Linked DNA regions of Rattus norvegicus. The main gene of each other region encodes a partner of the protein of the gene in region 2 in a complex. Links are inferred from orthologs where the notes say so. Each region holds a gene or a part of one and is shown on either strand. Other genes may lie near its edges.

What was found.
Region 1: the proteins of Iffo1 (region 2) and Xrcc4 are in contact, whole or in part, in a crystal structure (PDB 6ABO), measured with the Homo sapiens proteins. The link is inferred for Rattus norvegicus from reciprocal best matches to the Homo sapiens genes IFFO1 and XRCC4. Residues at the interface, in NP_001317253.1 of Homo sapiens: Arg469, Glu470, Tyr473, Ile477, Gln479, Ile480, Glu481, Glu483, Leu484, Ala487, Lys488, Asp490, Met491, Arg493, His494, Leu495, Tyr498, Met501, Lys505, Leu508, Asp509, Met512, Cys515, Arg516, Leu518, Ile519, Thr520, Gln521; in NP_001304941.1 of Homo sapiens: Trp155, Val158, Gln159, Phe162, Glu163, Cys165, Val166, Lys169, Glu170, Glu173, Leu176, Tyr177, Phe180, Val183, Leu184, Lys187, Lys188, Lys190, Ile191, Leu194, His195, Lys197, Leu198, Ala201, Ala202, Arg205, Glu212.

Annotation. Positions count from the first base shown.
Region 1 is NC_086020.1:22,814,295-22,817,945, reverse strand, and holds part of Xrcc4 (DNA repair protein XRCC4), read left to right. Parts: intron 1-1,866; coding exon 1,867-2,010; intron 2,011-3,083; coding exon 3,084-3,175; intron 3,176-3,651.
Region 2 is NC_086022.1:159,644,835-159,648,485, forward strand, and holds part of Iffo1 (non-homologous end joining factor IFFO1), read left to right. Parts: intron 1-862; coding exon 863-993; intron 994-2,426; coding exon 2,427-2,479; coding exon of another isoform or gene 2,480-2,532; exon of another isoform or gene 2,533-2,973; coding exon 2,974-3,026; 3' UTR 3,027-3,651. UniProt on the Homo sapiens protein: Nuclear matrix protein involved in the immobilization of broken DNA ends and the suppression of chromosome translocation during DNA double-strand breaks (DSBs).

The DNA.
Region 1 (3,651 bases), on a different chromosome or scaffold from region 2:
AATAGATTCTGAATTTGTTGCTATCTCTGAATCTTTCTGTAGTAAATTGTGATATGCATGAAATTTATTTGTATAAGAATATCTGTATGTATTTAAAACATTTTATTATATACTGAGATAATTTAGTTGTTTATATATTTTCCTCATATTTAAATTTCTTATGTTTGAAAATAAGAGAATGTTCACCTGACAGTTTGCATCTGAAATTATAGAGTAACATACCCTGCACATAACATATATCACAAATATTGGCAGTATCTTGAAATAGGAAGCCTGAACTGAAAGGAAGCAGACATTCCTAAGAGGTCCCACAGACCCTGGTGTGTCTTGTAACCAATGAGATAAAACAAGTCCACCAAGCTCTTTTGCCAGAGTGAAGTGGCTGAAGGAGTATGTATTCCATCCCATGCTCTTTAGGAAATTCTCAGCCCCTAGCACGGACACCGTGCTGCTGAAGAACTCAGATTCGTCTCTCAGCTTGTAGGACCAGTCTCACACACTTGGAATGGCTACTAGAAAAAGGAATCTCCAAGGAGCAGGACTTCAAAGTACATGTCATGTAGCTCTCAATTAACCTAGTGCCAACTGGTTGGCGTCTTGGAAGACAGGCTCAGAGAAACTGAGATACGGTGTTGAAAAAGAAGGGTACTTTTGATGTGTAATAAATCAGCAAATGAAAAAGACTGTACTCATGAGCTCACTTTATTTGTTTATGTCATGAATGTGTACTGAGCATCTCTGCTAGGCACTGAGCACAAAGCACTTGGTAGAACACACGTGTTCTGTGGTCTCATGCAATGCCAGCCTTAGTAAAATCCATGCTAAACGAATGTGCACTAATTGGTTCCAGAACTGCATTGGTACATAGTCCTTTTTACCCTAGAATAACGTCTGTGTGCTTTTATGTAGATGGGTTGTGAGACACATCAAGGGCTGATAGGAACCGTCTCACTTTTTGACATTTTCACTTTTAATTATCTCGCCTTAGTTTACATGTGTATATATGTACATATTTTATTATTAGGACATACATGGGACACATATAAAGTATATTTAGGAACATATAGAATAAGCAGCGCAGTAAAGGTAAAGTTGGGCAGAACTTGACTATAGGAATACTTTCAATGAAATATTTGTGTTTAAATGTGTATAATAATCATTTACTCATGACGTACACAGTAGGTGTATATAGCTTCTGTTAGTTTACATCCTTCCTGTCTGTTGGGACATTAAAGCAAGTGAAATTCGCTTGAGCATTATAACATTCCAGGATGAATTATTAATACTAGAGAATTTTATTCTTCTTTTATATCTCTATGGCTAAAGATATATACTTTTTTCATCATTTCTTTATTATCTTCTTAGAAATATCAGGTGGTATAATTCAATTCATTACATACATTTTTTATTTATGTTCAGATTTGTGCTTAAATATGGTGGGTTATAAAGACACAAATTAGTTATGTTCTTGTGGAACAAGTCATAGTCTGAAGACTGACAACAAATTTTCTTTCATATATGCTCATGGCTGCTGTAATAGTAATATTAATAAATGCACATCATGTAATATAATATACAATGTAAATGACTGAGCTTTTATAAATAAACTACACATGAATTGTTATATTTGAGAATTTAGGTTAGAGAGCTTTATTTCTATCTATTTCAATTATTATTTGTTTTAGAACATAAGTGACAAATATTAATAAATAGCATTTTCTAACTTTTTCACACTCTATTTAAATAAAATGACCTTAATTACATTTGCCTTCAAAAGGCTTCTTGAAATCATGATGTTGGATTGAATAATATTAATGATAGAAAATTTGTATGACTTGCAATTTGTTTACTCCTTTGCATTTTTAGATTTGAGAAATGTGTGAGTGACAAAGAAGCCTTGGAGGCCGATTTGTATCAAAGATTTATCTTGGTGCTGAATGAGAAGAAAACAAAAATCCGAAGCTTGTTGAGTGAAGTCCAGCAGCTGGAGAAGAGTACCAAACCTGAAAGGTAGCAACCGCTTGCCCTTGGCTAAGAGAGGTGTAAATCTCAGGAGAATGTCTTTACAGACTTGCAGCATTAGGTGTCTACTTTTAGTAATGTGCATTTTTTTGGTAGTGGGTTTAGACATTCTAGCTCGGATGAGTATATTCTCCACACAATTTCTCCATGTCATTCCATGGTTTAATTTGAAGTATAGCATATGTCATAGCATATAAAACATATTTGTTTAATTCTGAAAGATTTAACTATTTAATTTATTTATTTAATTTTAGACATTATGAAGTAAGAAATATATCAGTTAACAAAACTTTTCACCTCTTCCAAGGCTGCAAGTTGTTTGTACATCTATAATCTTAGCATCTAAGCAATGTTGGCTTTTGATCCAGCTAGTAAAAGTTAAATCCTGTGGTACATTTACATTGTCTGGTGGAAGTATGTTATTTTTTCCTATTGTTGTCAAGTTGTTATTGATGTTCTCTCCTTCCTTAAAGTGTGTGTACAATTGATTCCTAAGGTGGGGGGAATTATAGGTTACAATTGGTTAGTATAGGTTTGGGTAATTTCACATGTTTTTCGTCATTAACTCATACAGACTAGGTCCTGTTGCCTTGGATCTGAAAAGCATAGGTTTTTCATGACATAGTATGAAGAAAATAACATTGAATTCTAGCTTTTCCTATGTCTGGTACAGAGTCCTACTTGCACGTGGTACTAAACATTGTGCCTCTGTTCCTCGTTTGGGGGGCAATTTAATCAAGTGCAGAACTGCTGTCAAGTCATTACAATGCTGAGCACTGCCCCTTAGGTAACTAGGTGGACTAGTGTTTAAATAAATGAATAAAACATGATAAACTAATTCAGTAATTAATAGGGACCTTTAACCACCATTCCGTTTACTAAGATAACACTTCTCTTTTAAGAGACTTAGTCTTTCATTGATTTCATCTAAATTGCATAATTTACTTTGTCTGAGCAGAACTTTTTTTCTAGGAATGTTTTTCTGTATTTTCTTATTGGTTAAGTAGATCGTTAGCCAGAATCAATCGATAATTTCCAGTTCCGCCTTTCTCTCTTTCCAGGGAAACTCCGAGTTCTGACAAAATACCTGAGGAGGATGGGCTTTATGATGGCAGCACTGATGAAGAAAGCGGAGCCCCTGTGCTGGGCGCAGGTAAGAGGGCCGGACCCCCTAAGGGTTCCTATGTCATAAGACACCAAATTGAAAAAATATATGAGAAAAGGTTTCCATAAAATTGATCAAAAATTTTACCCTAAAACTTTAAGAACATTACATTAAAATGTACAGTAGACTGTAGCAGTTATAACAGCAAGGCACACAAGCAAGCATATATCCGTTCACTAGGAATGTACCTTGGCTGTTACATGGCACTCATGAACAAGAAGGCAGATGCATCTTATGTTAGTATCACCAGCTCAGAACTGCAGGGCTTTCGTATCAGACATCTCATGGAGCTGGGTCAATAGATGGAACAGGATGAGGCCTAATCTTCTTTTGTTCTTCAGAAAAGAGCTTGCTACAGAGTAAAAGGGGACAGGGATAACAGATGTGTAGTTGTACCATTTTTCAGGCATTTTTTATCTTACTGTTCTTTTGCTAGTACATTATGGTTTCAGATTTTGTGTTTT
Region 2 (3,651 bases):
GCTCACACTGGCCTCAAACTTGCTTTAGAACAGACTTACCTGCAACTTCTGATTAGTGCTGGGATTACAGATGTGTGTTACTAGGTCCAGCTTACGGGATGCTAGGGATCAAAGTATGGTTCCGTTGCAGGCTAGGCAAGCCCTCTGCCAGCCGAGCTACAGTCTGAGCCTCTGTGTGTGTGTGTGTGTGTGTGTGTGTGTGTGTGTGTGTGTGTGTGTATGCATGTGTGTATGCATGTGTGTGTGCGCGTGTGTGTGCGCGTGTGTGTGCGCGCGTGTATGTGTGAGTGAGTGTGTCTGTACATTTGTGTGTGCGTGTGTGTGTGCGCACGCGTGTATGTGTGTGTGTGTGTGTCTGTACATTTGCGTGTGCGCACAAGTGTGTGTGCACATGCCATGGTGCAGGTGTGGAGGTCAGAGAACAATTTGGAGTTGGTTTTCTCCTTCTTCTATGTGGGTCCCTGGCATCAAATGCAGATTGGCAGATGTGGCAGGTACCTTATCCACTGAGCCCTTTGGCGTGCCCTCCTTCCCCCTTTTTGAGACCAGGTTTAAGATTTACTGTCATGACTCTCCTGCCTCAGCCTGAGTGCTGGAGTGAAGGCTGTGCTCCCCCACCCACCATGCTTTTACAGAGAACTCAGACATCTGGCTGATTCTTGGGTAGCAGTAGGAGTAGATTCCCAGAAAGGCTTGAGTGTGGGGCACCGTCCTGAGCCCTTGCCTCGCCAGAGTGAGGGCCTGAAGTTAGAGCGCCAGTTGCTGCCGCCCCTCCCCCACTTCCATATCCCGGGGAAGCAGGCGATGGAAGCTTGCTTGTTTTCTGAGCTGCTTGGCCCTCCCTGACCCCACCTCACCGCAGCTGGAGCTGGCCACGGCCAAGAGCGACATGAACCGCCACCTGCATGAGTACATGGAGATGTGCAGCATGAAGCGGGGGCTGGACGTGCAGATGGAGACCTGCCGCCGCCTTATCACACAGTCCGGAGACCGGTAAGGGCCGCCCTGAGTGGCGTGGCTGTCTCCCAGGGAAGAAGGCTGGACAGGCCCCAGTGGCCTGTGGGAGTGACCAGGTCACATCTTTATGTCCAGCTGTCCTTGGGAGTCCCTGTAGGTGTGGCCTAGAATGAAGCTTCCTCTCCCTGCCTTGGCCGTCAGATGAAACCGACTAGTGCCCAACTCTGAGGGTCTGAGAGCCCAAACCTGGCAAGGAGCAAAGAAATAGAGGGACAGGATTATCCAAATCCAAATCACAGTTTAGCTGTTTGACCTTGTTTAAGAGTAAATCTGGGGTTTTGGAATATAGCTCAGTGGTAGAGTCCTTGTCTAGCCTGTCTAGCACACACACAGACACACACAGACACACACAGACACACACACACACACACACAGACACACACACACACACACACAGACACACACACACACACTAAGATTTTTTTAGAAATCTCTAAACCAGGCCTAGCGGTACATGTCTGCAGTCTCAGTCTTGGAAGGCGGAGGCAGAAGGATTGTCATGAGTTTTAGGCTGTTCTGGACAGCAGTAAAACCTTGTCCCACACAAACCAAACAGCAACAACAACAAACAAAAATCCAAGGAATGGCAGTTAAGTCAGGCTTATGAGCGCATACCTATCATTCAGATGCACAGAAGCAACGGGCAGGTGAATTGCCACAAGTACTAGACCAGCCTCGCCTCTGTGAGGAGTTCAAGGCCAGGCAGGAATGCAAACTGACTCATCTCAAAGAGAACAAAAAACCCAACCCAACCCGACCCCCCAAATTGCATTGTATGGTGAGCACGCTAACTGGGTTTGTGGCCACCCCAGCCACTTTGAAGGCAAGAGGGGCTGGAGAGATGGCTCAGCGGTTAAGAGCACTGACTGCTCTTCCAGAGGTCCTGAGTTCAATTCCCAGCAACCACATGGTGGCTCACAACCATCTGTAATGGGATCTGATGCCCTCTTCTGGTATGTCTGAAAACAGTTACAGTGTACTCATATAAATAAAATAAATTAAAAAAAAAAAGAAAATCAACTGAAGGCAAGAGGATTGCTTGCACCCAGGAATTTGGGGTCAGCAGTGACAACAGAGTGAAACAGCCCCCTAAACCCCCATACTCCCCCAGTCTCACCTCCTACAGTCCCCACAGCCCCCCGCACACCGAATTATTGCTGGATAAGAAGCTAGGGCCTTAGTGTGGCTCAGGGAACATCTCCATGCTGTGACTTCAGACTTTTCTGATCTCTGAGTCCCAAAGAGCGAAACTGTTCCTCCCATCAAGTTGAAAACAAGTTTTCCTTCCCTCCCCCGTCCTTGCCTGTCATCCCCCTGTACCTCAAAAGATAAGGCCAGAGAAAGCAAGTTTGGAAGTCTCAGGAGCTTTCCTGCTTTGCCCCAAGGTGACAACTGGTATTTCTTTCTAGAAAGTCTCCTGCTTTCACTGCGGTCCCGCTTAGCGACCCGCCGCCGCCGCCAAGCGAGACTGAGGACTCCGATCGAGATGTCTCATCTGACAGCTCCATGAGATAGGAACCAGGGCCTGGTGCCCCAGAGCTCTCTGGGGCAGGGGTGTGGGTCTGCAGAGGACCATCTTCTGTGCCACCGCATGAAGCCTGGCCCTGGCTTGTCCTCTCCAGGGTTCTGGGGTGTCTGGAGCTAGGCTCGGCCCCACCCCCTGTACAACTCCCAACACATTGGGGCACTCCTGCCTTCCTCACATGTGGGTATCTGCTACTTCTCCATCTTTGGAATGCTGCCAGCACACTTGGAGCCTCCCTTTTCCATTTGTAAGGAATGTGGTTATGGGACCTGCCTGTTTTCCTTGGGTTTTGTACTGGTGCTAACTGGCCTAGGCACTCATGTGAAACAGATTCCGCATGTACCTTTGGATAGGACCTTGCTCCCTAGGAAGGCCTTGAGGGCGTGGACACTGCACATGCTCACAGCTAGCTGCCCACCTGCCCACTGCAGTGAACATGGCTGTGCCTTTGGGAAGTCCAGTGCCTGGGCCAGGTCGCCACTGAGATGAAGCTGCTGCCACACTTGGGTGTGGCCTGCACAAGGTTAGGGGTGCTCAGGGTGTCTCCTCAGTGACCAGCTGAGGGAATGCCTCCATGGCTGTCACTGACAAAACCAAAAGGTTACAATGTCCCTGGTCCTAGGGAGCTAGGATCTCCCAGGAGAGGCTATGCAGAGCTGACATTTGAATGGGACCTTTGAAAGCAATGAAGGCGTTGAGTCGAGTCACCGTGTAATGCACCTTCATTTCATTCCCAACCAACAGTGAGCGCTGGCTAGTCACTGCCCCAGAACCAAAGCACCTTCAAGTGCCCACACCTGAAGACAGGTGAACAGCTCAGCAGGGACCTTCCCTCTTCATGGACACAATTAGTCCTACTGTACTGGGCACCCTTCCAACTTTACCTAATTTAACATCTGGAGACTTTGAGAGCTGGGTACAATTAACCTTTGTTTGCAGATAAAGGACACAGATCTTTCTCAAGAGCAGCAAGCTCTGAAAGTCAGTGCTGTTCAAAGACTGCACCTTCTGTTCCAGTGTCAAGCCCCACCCTCCACACTGCCAGACACATCAGGTGTCTGGACAGGCGGCCTGGGCTGGCACTCGGTTAGAATGTAGCCCTGGACCTC